3 linked regions of the Daphnia pulex genome follow. The protein of the gene in region 3 purifies or fractionates together with the protein of the main gene of each other region. This does not show direct contact. Links are inferred from orthologs where the notes say so. Each region holds a gene or a part of one and is shown on either strand. Other genes may lie near its edges. The genes, in order: importin subunit alpha-1-like, phosphorylated adapter RNA export protein-like and nuclear cap-binding protein subunit 2-like.

The links.
Region 1: the proteins of nuclear cap-binding protein subunit 2-like (region 3) and importin subunit alpha-1-like purify together in Homo sapiens (affinity purification with mass spectrometry; 4 studies listed by BioGRID and IntAct, with this or other methods). This does not show direct contact. The link is inferred for Daphnia pulex from reciprocal best matches to the Homo sapiens genes NCBP2 and KPNA2.
Region 2: the proteins of nuclear cap-binding protein subunit 2-like (region 3) and phosphorylated adapter RNA export protein-like purify together in Homo sapiens (affinity purification with mass spectrometry; 5 studies listed by BioGRID and IntAct, with this or other methods). This does not show direct contact. The link is inferred for Daphnia pulex from reciprocal best matches to the Homo sapiens genes NCBP2 and PHAX.

The regions. Positions count from the first base shown.
Region 1 is NC_060028.1:48,932-53,238, reverse strand, and holds importin subunit alpha-1-like, read left to right. Parts: upstream 1-1,444; 5' UTR 1,445-1,597; intron 1,598-1,830; exon of another isoform or gene 1,831-1,868; 5' UTR 1,869-1,891; coding exon 1,892-1,954; intron 1,955-2,020; coding exon 2,021-2,189; intron 2,190-2,249; coding exon 2,250-2,397; intron 2,398-2,456; coding exon 2,457-2,712; intron 2,713-2,769; coding exon 2,770-3,322; intron 3,323-3,386; coding exon 3,387-3,664; intron 3,665-3,845; coding exon 3,846-3,947; 3' UTR 3,948-4,192; downstream 4,193-4,307.
Region 2 is NC_060019.1:7,576,963-7,580,867, forward strand, and holds phosphorylated adapter RNA export protein-like, read right to left. Parts: upstream 2,464-3,905; 5' UTR 2,284-2,463; coding exon 2,233-2,283; intron 2,144-2,232; coding exon 1,367-2,143; intron 1,304-1,366; coding exon 1,117-1,303; intron 882-1,116; coding exon 685-881; 3' UTR 549-684; downstream 1-548. UniProt on the Homo sapiens protein: A phosphoprotein adapter involved in the XPO1-mediated U snRNA export from the nucleus.
Region 3 is NC_060026.1:16,276,700-16,279,633, reverse strand, and holds nuclear cap-binding protein subunit 2-like, read right to left. Parts: upstream 1,729-2,934; 5' UTR 1,533-1,728; coding exon 1,494-1,532; intron 1,349-1,493; coding exon 1,262-1,348; intron 1,202-1,261; coding exon 1,107-1,201; intron 1,043-1,106; coding exon 904-1,042; intron 846-903; coding exon 747-845; 3' UTR 650-746; downstream 1-649. Other genes in the region: hsp70-binding protein 1-like, read left to right, coding at 2,085-2,370, 2,435-2,656, 2,717-2,872, 2,932-2,934. UniProt on the Homo sapiens protein: Component of the cap-binding complex (CBC), which binds co-transcriptionally to the 5' cap of pre-mRNAs and is involved in various processes such as pre-mRNA splicing, translation regulation, nonsense-mediated mRNA decay, RNA-mediated gene silencing (RNAi) by microRNAs (miRNAs) and mRNA export.

The sequences.
Region 1 (4,307 bases), on a different chromosome or scaffold from region 3:
ACTCACCATGGCGACAACCAGGCAGACGGCAACCAGAAGGAAGAGAATCGGAAGGAACTTCATTTTTTATCTAGGAGATCAGACGTGGGGGTTTAGGAATTCAAACGCCCAAGTGGGTCGTCATTTTATAGTCGAGCCGCATTTTTCTATGTCGATTATTTAAGTAGCGCCAGTTGAACTATCGGATTCAAATGAAACTTGACAATTTACGAGGGGCTGGAAAATGATTGGACGTGATACGAATGTGTTGGAATAAACACCAACTGCAACACCAACTTTGCAGGGTCGTTGTAATCCAGTTGAACCGATGACGGGAGTTGCAGCTGTTCACGTTGGATTTCTCCGTTTCTTTTGGAACTGCCCGGCGGATTGCAACTAATTGTGGGGAAATTGGAAATGAAAAGGAATTTTAGAGTCTATTAGCACACGTGACCTAATCACAGAATATGATTAGTTTTTAAGAAACGTATAGACTGAAAAATGTGTTTAACGTATTACGTGCACACTGTCCAGCACGGATTTTACGACCACCTGTGTCGGAATTAGCGATTCCAACTGAACTATATTTGGTACGCTCTGTTGATCAAACTTGTCGAAAGGCTAAACGGTCCCCTCTTGCAGTCGGATGAAACTGATTTTTAAAAATAAAAGTTATTTGCCTGCCACTGATTTAATAAATTAAATGAAATAAGATATATAACTTGAATTCACAACTGTTAGTGTTTAAAGCAATTAAAACGTTTTAATTTCTACAGAAAGTTTAGAGATCAGACAAGAGACATTGTAAATCTAAATTTCATTCTGTATGTTTGGTATCACAGCTAGGCCTACCTCATTTCGTTAGGAAGATGTATTAAAATGAAGTTTCTTCCATACTTTATCTGTTGATTCTGTTCACACTGATTTTGGATGATACTCTTACAACTGATGGAAAATTTGGTCTGAAAAATATTTGAAAATTTAGTATAAATTAATTTGGGTTGTGGGAGAAAACTTTTCTTTCTTCCAGATGGCAGTCTAAAGTTTAAGCTTTCAGGAATCGGCTGGCACTGGCTGGTATTCAAATTTTTGCCACTTTTTTAGTTTGGAAAACAGTTTTATATAAATTGAATGTTCAAGATTACTGGATCTATATTTGTATAACTTCTTCCTGCCAACATAAAAATTGTTGATGCTAGTTTTATGAAAACTGTTTAAACCAGGGGAGAGATCTCTGACACTGTCATTTGGACATCATCATACATCATGTTCTTAAAGAAAGACTTCCAACAGATCATTAAGTCAGAAGGTTAATTAATGAGAAATCCTATGGTAACAAATTCTTATTAAAATCAATTATCAATTTCAGTTAAATTCTATTATGACCAGCTCCATCGGCGTTTTTCATTTTCTGCTTATTTTGAAATTTTAAATTTTCTCGTCTGCTTATACGTTGCCAGATTTGATCCCATTCCGATTGCATCAATGAATAAATTTGGCAACAGGCAACGGTTAGGTTTGAAATTCCCTCCCCCTTCTTCTTCTTCGTCGTCTGGAATTCTCTTAGCGATCAAACGGTCACCATTCATCAATTGATTCTTGCTCACAAGTCCCGCAGGTAATTCCTCTCTCTATTAATTTTCAATTTTTCTGACATTCCCACGTGGAATAATAGTTTACTTCTTGCTTCGACTATAACAAATTGTGAAATAATGGTATGAGTCATCATTGACACATTTTTAACGACTGCCATAGTCTGGGAAATTTTGCACGTGGCGCGGGAAATTTTTTCTCTTTGTTGCTTCATTGTCTCGAGTCCCATTTCTCATTTTTCTTTTGTCATTGTGCCAGATTTGAAAATCCCTTTTAGAATTCTCTTTCTTTGACAGCTGGAGTAAATTACACTATCACAATGCCTACTGAAGCAAATCCCAGCCGGTTGAAGGACTTCAAGAACAAAGGCAGAGATGTTGAGGTAAATACCTTAAAATAACTAGTGTCAGTTCTCAAATGTAACAGATTTTTCATCTTTCTTGTTCAGGAAATGAGGAGGAGACGTACAGAGGTGAATGTTGAGTTGCGGAAAGCCAAGAAGGAAGATCATTTGTTGAAGAGACGTAACCTTGAAATCGATGATGAGCCCCTCAGCCCACTCCAAGAACAGAATCGGATGGCTGCAGCAAATATGAGCATTGAGGACATAGTCAATGGTATGTGTGCATCAGTTTTTATTTCTGAGTTGCTTCTCATATGTTTTTCATTATCGTTAGGTATCAACAGTGGTGATGAGAACAAGGAGATCACTGCAACCCATGCTGCCCGTAAAATCCTCAGCAGGGAACGTAATCCACCCATTGACATCCTCATTAATGCAAATGTTGTTCCGAAGCTGGTGGAGTTTCTCAGTCGTGTCAGCAAGTATGTCAAGTGTCTCTTTTGGTTTTTGAACATTTCCTAATGGTCTTTCTTTGTTTCAGCCCCGATCTGCAGTTTGAGTCAGCCTGGGCTCTCACCAACATTGCTTCAGGCACATCTGACCAGACAAAGGCTGTCGTCAGTGCTGGGGCTGTCGCTGGCTTCATTTCCCTGTTGGGGTCACCTCATCCAGTTGTGGCAGAGCAAGCTGTTTGGGCTCTGGGTAACATCGCCGGAGACGGACCAGAGCTTCGTGATCACGTCATCGAGCAAGGCATTATCAAGCCTCTGCTTACTTTGATTAAACCTGATACTTCGGTGAGTTTTATTTTAAATTTACGTTCGTGTGCAGTTGTTAATTGATTTGATCTATAGGCCACATTCTTGCGTAATGTCACTTGGACTTTGTCCAACTTGTGTCGTAACAAGAATCCTCCGCCCAGTGTCCCTGCCGTCCGGCAACTGCTTCCCGCATTGGCCCACCTGATCCACAACAACGACAAAGAGATCCTCGCCGATGCTTGCTGGGCTCTTTCTTACCTCACCGATGGCCCCAACGAACGGATTCAGGAGGTTGTCGACGCCGGTGTCGTCCCACGGCTGGTCGCTTTGCTGGACCACGTTGAGGTGGCCGTGATCACCCCCACTCTGAGAACAATCGGGAATATCGTTACAGGAAGTGACATTCAGACCGATTCCGTCCTGGCTGCTGGTGCCTGCCCGTTGCTGGCCAAGTTACTCGTTCATGCTAAGATGAACATCGTCAAGGAGGCTGCCTGGACCGTGTCCAACATTGCTGCCGGCAATGCCATCCAGATTCAGGCTCTCATCACCAACAATGTTATTCGTCCGTTGGTGGATGTGCTGGGCAAAGGTGACTTCAAATGCCAAAAGGAGGCAGCTTGGGCCATCACCAACATCACTTTAGGTAACTTATTTCATTTTTACTGGTGTTTTATTGATTTTTAATTGATTTTTCTTATTCATTTCAGGTGGCAATGTGGAGCAGATCGCCTTGTTGTGCCAGTTTGGTGCCATCGCTCCGCTGTGCACTTTGCTGGAGGCAAAGGAACCCAAGACCATCTTGGTCGTGCTGGATGGATTGGCTAATATTTTGGCCGCAGCTGAGAAAATGGGTGAATTGGAGAAAGTTTCCCTTCACGTCGAAGAGTGTGGTGGTCTGGACCGCATCGAAGCTCTGCAGAGCCACGACAATGTTGAAATCTATCACAAGTCATTGGCCATTCTGGAGCAGTACTTCTCAACTGACGTAATTTATTCTTTTTTTATTGTTTCTTTTTTTGGGTTTATTTCAATGATTACCACAACTGTTCACATTCATAGTGTTTGTGCTGACAACTTAACCATTACTGAGATTTTAGAAAATTAGTTTTATTTTGAAATAGTGTTCTTGAATTTGATTTAATCGTTTTTGTTTGTTATTTCGACAGGGGGATGAAGATTCCGAGTTGGCGCCATCTACATCGCAGAGTGGCAATTACGAATTCAACAACTCGCCATCTCAAGCCCCCGAAGGAGGTTTCTCATTCTAAATTTTGTATAATCTAAAAATTCTTTTTGATTTTTTTCTGCCTTTACAACGGTAAATATATTCTTCACTTTCTTGAACGCTATCCTAATCATGAGTTTTGGCCTTTTCTTATTTCAAAGTTTTTTTCTAAATTGTTTTTTAATTGAAAGTTGCCATTTGCTTTCATTTCTGTCCATGCACGACGTCTTCTTTCCTCTTTCTCAATGCGCGATAAACGAGCAATACAAAACAACTCGATCAACTCTACATTTGATAAGTTTTGATTTTGTCGTGCTAGTTTTTATTTTTTGTATTTCAAGTTGATTTCCTGATTCCAGGTTGTTGGCTGCTTACAGTTAATCCGTGTTCTGACATTTGTAGA
Region 2 (3,905 bases), on a different chromosome or scaffold from region 3:
GGATTCTTTTTTAGTAAGAGAAATTAAAGAGATGGAGAGACCGCGAAGCGCGCACATAATGATTTAATCTCGAAATTTGTTGGTCAATGACGATTTGTTTCCAAATCACTCTTAAGGTTTTTTATTGTTTTGTATTTTTCAAAATGTGTTGAGTTGAAAGTTTCGCTGTGTTGTTGAGAGTGAAAGTTCCTGTTATCGAGAGTTTACTAGTTAACGACTGGGGAAGCCAATATGCATTACTGTAGGCGGCCTGATTCACACTAATGCACATTAGACATTATAAGTAGCATTTACGAACGAGTTGAATATTACTATACATAAATCCGCATTTTCGCCGGTGGAAGTAACACTCCTTATTATCTCGTACGAGTCGACTGTCTGAGTGGTTGTTTTGAACTTGTAAGGCTTGCAAGTGCATGCCAGGTTGTGTCGTAATAAGACGAATAATAACAATACAATTCATACTCTTGCGTCTTATTAGTTAAATTAATCCCTACACCTATATTGATTAAATCGTGGTTAATAATTTCATGTCCACGACGACAAAGAACTGGAAAGGTACTGTATTTTAAATCGTCTCGGTACAAACACGCATTAGCGTCAATGTTATATACGAGAAATAAACATACAATTAGGAGTTTTCTCAGGAATACATACTCAACTGTTCTTACGTTCAAAAATGCTTCATTCGGAATCGAAATGTATGTCAGTACAGTCAAGTACTTCACATTCAGCGATTTCACTTTGGATGGGCTGCTGCTCCATTATTGTTTCATTGTCTGATTTCATTAGCGGTTCAGTTGCTGTTGGTTGGGCGTCTTGTTGACTCTTTTGAATCTCCAGCTCGACTCGCGTTGGCAATTCAGGTAAAGTATTTGGCGCTAGAAAGTCCAAATAACCATTGATTGAATTTAACTTGATTGAACTGACTTTTATGGTTTGCTTAAAAAAGATGAAATTCTTAGTTGTAAATATTTTTAATTTGGCAAAGGTTAGAATATAAATATAAAAACGTAGTTGAACAAAAAAGAAGAGACGAAAAACTTCGCTTCCGCAAAGTTATCCTGCGAAATTAAGCAACGTTTCACTACCTGTAAGAATATGAATCATGATTACCTGGAAGTGATTTCTTTAATTTGTCTGCTTGTGTTTGCCGTCTTTTAGCTCGTAAAGTTCGTTTGTGTTGTTCTCTTGCTTTGGTCTCTTCGCTGAATATTTCACGAATTTTTTCCATCGGGATTTCTTCGTGATTGCGCAACAAGAAGAGGAAGACACCACCGGGAGTCCTTCTCCGAGATCCATCCTATTAATGTAAAGAGATTTTAATTTAAGTATATTCAAACTAAGAGAATGTATATAAACTTACCGCGATCAAGATACCTCCGTCATTTTCAGTTTCTTGCGTTTCGTAGAACAGTTTGATTGTTATTTCCTTGCCCAATATTTCAACTACACGGAGAATCAAATCCATCTTTTCTTCGTGAAGCTTTAGAGCTATATCCTGGGCCACTTCCATGACAGTAGATTTTTCAGTAACAGATAGCTCTTCAACACGCCTGAGTCTTGCTTTAACTTTGGATTTGGGGACAGTACTTTGGGGTTCTTTATCTCTCTGATCCATTTTCCTTTTTCGAGAATTCAACAGTGTTTGGGTTTGCTGAAGGCTCTGCTCAAAGTCTTCATCAACTGCCTTTTCTACTTTCACAGGAGCTCCACCTCCATATTTTTCATCTAAATCAGCAATCTTCTTCCGGATCCTTTGTTCAGTTTTTTCATCAATGTCTTCTTCTTCCAGGCGATTTTTCATGCACAGTACATAGTTATAAGATTCAACATCCCTAGACCTATCAAGGTAATTCTTGCTGTGATGCACATTAATGTCTTTAATGTCTTGTTCAAACTGATCCTCAAACACTACTGTACTCCAAACATTGTGCTTGCCAACTGGTTGGGCAGGTTTTAATGCTTTGGTTTCTGCTTTTCTTCGTCTTTTTGCTGGCCTCTGTAGTTGCTCATCACTGCTGCTTTCATCACTACTACTGCTTGACTCGCTCGATTCATCAGTATCTTCTGCAACTTGCTTGAAGGGTTGGTGTGCAGTAGTGAATGATGTAGGTCTTTCTAAAGCAGTATATGGCTCAATCTAATAAAATGAGATGAAGACACAGAGAAAACCAGAGAAGGGATGGATCGTTACAACCAATTTAACATTTAGCAGTAACCGTATCTTACATCACTATCGTCAGAAATTTCTCCGTCTTCAGTTTCATCTATATGTTGCATTATAAAACGCTATCCAACAAATTTTTACTTCTTTCAAAAAAGGATCCTGGAATTGAAACCAACTCAAGTGTTTATCAGCCGCTGGAAAATTCAGCAGTGAAGAGATATTGAAATTCAATTCACAACACAAGAAACGGTAGAGAGTCTAGACAGTGTTCAATGTTTTCTCGACGACAGAGACACCTAGTATCGGACGGATAGAACTAATAAGCGCGCGATCTAAATAAATAAAATGCCACAGTTAAATAAAAATAATATTTGCATTTGCAGTAGGCTAGTCCAATTAAATGACTCAATATTTCAGTTTTAAAGAAATATTATAAAGATATACAAGACGTATATGAATTTTTTAAAATAAATAAGTAAATAACAGACAACCAAAGGAGAAAGGACGTTGCAACAAAGAATAGACTGAGGCGGCGCTTTGCAGCTTGTTTGACTTGCAAGCAAAATCATTTCTCCTAAAAAAATTGTAACACAGAATCAGATCAAATGGCATTTGATTAGTTTCCTATTGGAAATAAGAAAAGACTTCAATATTAAAACAGCTTATATAATAGATATTTTGTAAAGTCCATGGTACTATTAAGTGCAAGAGAATGCGCTTCTTTTTTCAGATGAAATACAACGACAATTCGGGTATTTCAATGGGGAAAGCGAATGACCCGAAGTCAATATGCTAAAATCAAAACTACGCCAAGCTAGTCACCAGACTTTTCTGTCACGAAACAAATCAGATTTTAAAAAATAAGTCGTGTTACAAGTCAAACTAGTCTTGCATCAAATTGGACGGTACCAACGCAAGGATTACACCCGCCCACTCGAGTACGAAAAGCTGTTAGAAGGAATTCCTTTTGTCGGTGCCAGCTGTAAGACTAAGAAGACGTATTCCGAAATAAAACGAAATTTAAAGCACATTAAATTTATTTTAATTAATTTAACGATGCCTTTTCTTCGGTTTTACAAACACCTGATGTTTTCACAATTCACATCGTAGGAGATGGAGATCGTTCTGCGAGATGAAATTGAAAACCTATCTAGCTGCAAGGCATATCACATTTTGAACAGTTGATATTTTGTATCAGTTCAAGACTTTTTCCCCTTTTGTTGCAAGAACAATTTTGTGTGTTTCAACTTTCAAGCTTCATCTGAAAAAGGTAAATTTAAAATTTCTATTTAGTAAATTATAGGCCTAGTTTGGTAATGATTGTTTGCTAGTAATGACACACTAATAATACTTAATGGTATTTTTTGGTATATGAGACAAAGCAAGAACCTATAAAATTTCCCTAGGATTTTTTGTGCACACTTGATTTAATTTGTGGCCAGCAAAGAAGCATTAATTTGACGGTCTGACCAACAGTTTAAACAACTAACATGCAAAACAACCAAATGATGTTGAAATCATTTCAGCTTTGACATATAAAATATGTTTTTAAATTCTTCTCATGTTTCATTTATTTGACATAAGAAAAATGACTTTTGACTACTTATCATTCCACAAACATTATTTTGTTGATGTGAGTATTGAGAATTGAGATTGAGAGTAGAATAACATCTTCGGCATGGATTTAACTCTGACCTATTTAATTCAGTTTTCTAAAAAAAGAAATAAACGATTT
Region 3 (2,934 bases):
AGCCAGCCAACATGCACCAGTCCCGCTATAGCCTCACGGCGGAGCACGCGGATCGGCACGCGGACATGAATGCTTCCAGCGGCTGCAGCAGTGGGAGAGAACTCGATTGCCGTCGCCCAGAAATATTCAAACAGCCAACACCAGATACACACACACTCACTCAGTACAATTTTCCTGGTAGTTCAGATGCACGTTGAATGTCACGTCAAGCACATTCTTTCTTCGAACGATAAATAAGTTAGTTTTAATTTGGAATAACTAAACAACTACCGAGCAATCAGAAATCGATACCATTTCCATTTTGGAAATCATCTAATTGATCAATGATCATTGAATTAGCTTCACATTTGACACAAATTCAATTGTGACATTCGTTATAAGTTGCAGACGACCACTGGGAATTGAATATTCAAATATTTCTTTGCATGTAGATGATGGCGTGCATCACGCGGCCGCAAAAGCTCTTCTGGGAAACTACCCGCTTCGCTTTGAAAAGGAAAAAGCTTTGGGAGTGACAGATCACATGGCAAGAGATTCTAGTGTCCCCACTTTTCGATCGATAAAATCCAGGCCAACCGGACTGGCAGATGGAAACATGACGAGAAACGTCTTCTTTCACAGGTAAAAAAGATTTTGTTTAGGAAATCAATTCAGCATGGTCTGTTTTAATTGAGGATAACACTTGTTGACATTTGTTAAAAAAAAAAACACACAGAGATGAATGAATACAGTATTTAGAAATGTTATCAATTGTTAGCAGCAGCAGATGTGGCCACCTTCTGCTGAATCATTTTGCCCCATCCTCCTCTGCCACCATCAAAGTCAGTTCGGTATTCATCTCTCACCTGCAAAACAGAAATCCATTAGTTGAGAACAATAAGTTTGAGCTGACGAAATGCTGACCTGTCCTCCAGTTTTGCCTCTGCCATATTGCCTTCCTTCAATGAAGCCAGCATCCCAGTCAGTTCTCACAATTCTGTCATCCAGTCTTGTCCCATTCACAAACCTGATGGCATTTTCTGAATCATTCCTCAGGTAAAACCTTGAAAGATAATTAGAAATAATTAAACACAATTTTGTTATTGGATTTGGTTGCAATGACTTACTCTACAAAACAAAATCCACAAGGGGTCCTAGTAAACTTGTCCAATCCCATGATGATTCTCTTGACATCGCCACATTTCCCAAACAATTCATGGATCTAAAATATTTGAAAAGATGAAATCAAATGGAACCAATTGTTGACTTGGAAGTATTTAACCTGTTCTTCAGTTGTGTAAAAGGACAAGTTTCCAACATACAGGGTGCAAGATTGACTCAACAGACGCTCCTGCTCTACCCGGGAACCCTGAAAGATGGAAATCAGTTATTTTGGCTTGAAATATCAAAATATTTTTAATTATTAAGGTATGCATTTCCATTTAAACATTAATTGCCTCAAAACTGTATATTAAGTTACATTTTCAATTCTGCTATCAACTCATGAGGCTTACTTTGAAATGTTGGTCTCGGTATGTGCTTGGAACCGCCATTTCTACGAATTATTTCGGGAGAACCAATCACACCGTTCACCCCAGTGTCTTCCGAATTAAGTGTCCTTGTATTCAGCCAATCAACCGGCTAAACTTTATGCGTTTTAAATTACTAAAATTGGTGTGGTTTTTTTCTAAAAAAAAGTGTGCGTTGACACAACAAACCTGACGCGAGTGACTTTCGAAAAGATGCTTATGGCGGCCGCTAGGTTACGTCACTTGCTAGAAACCCATTCCGGCGTTAAACTACAATTAAAAACCAAATAAAAATATGACACACTTTCGCAGATTTTTTCAATAATTTTTTAAAATCTCAATGAATTTTATCCAAATCTTAATTAACTTAACAGGTTTGTTTTGTAAATGTCAAAATTTTTTAAGTTATGCGAGTCATGCCTAGATGGCTCTTTTTATTCCAGACTCTTCTTGATTTTGCTAGTAAACAGTTTCATTGACGTCTGCTTGCCCCATGCGTTCACGGTTTAACTTGCGTACTGCGTCTTATTCTTCATAAATATATAACAAGTTGTTGTTGAGATCCTTAGCAAAACAATGGAACCCCCACGACAACCAAGAGATATGCAAGGACTTTTAAGATTTGCCATCGAAGGCACCGCAGCTGAAGATCGTACCACAACCACATCGATGAGTGAAGAAAGGAGACGCTGGTTAGAAGAAGCTCTAAGAGGATTGTCAGTCGACGTTGTAGCCGAAATATCAAAATCGTTAAATATCCTCAATCCAGATCGAGTCGAAAGTCCTGAAGAAGATCCCCAGGAGATGGAGGAAGCATTGGAAATGATTACTGACTTTGCCGATTCCATGGACACGGCTAATGGTATGAGATATCTTTTTTTATTGATTGAATAAAACATTGACACTTGTTTCGCTTGTTTCTCCAGACTTTCACAAGATAGGAGGATTTTTCATCCTCATCCCCTGTTTGAATTCTCCCCACGATGGAGTTCGTTGGAGGTGCTGTCAGTTGATTGGCACCCTCACCCAGAACAACCCATACTGCCAACAGCATGTGCTCAACGAAGACCTATTGCCAATTTTGCTTAAAATGCTGGAAAACGATGACTGTGAAGAGGCGAGAATCAAAGCCCTGTACGCCATTTCATGTAATGAGCAGATTTACAACTCACACTAAGGGAATTCAGTTAACAATTGATTGATTATAGGTTTGACAAGAGAATGTGCAGAAGCCCAGGATGCATTTGTGCATTGTGATGGTTTCTCGTCTTTACTGAGAGCACTGCAATCATCACTCGGGAAACTGAAAATCAAGGCTTCATTCTTGTTGACTTGTTTATGCAATGAGAATCCATCCTTCAAAGGTTTTATTCACATTCATAAGTTTCTCCATTTGTACTCTAACCAATACCCTGTTTACTAGATA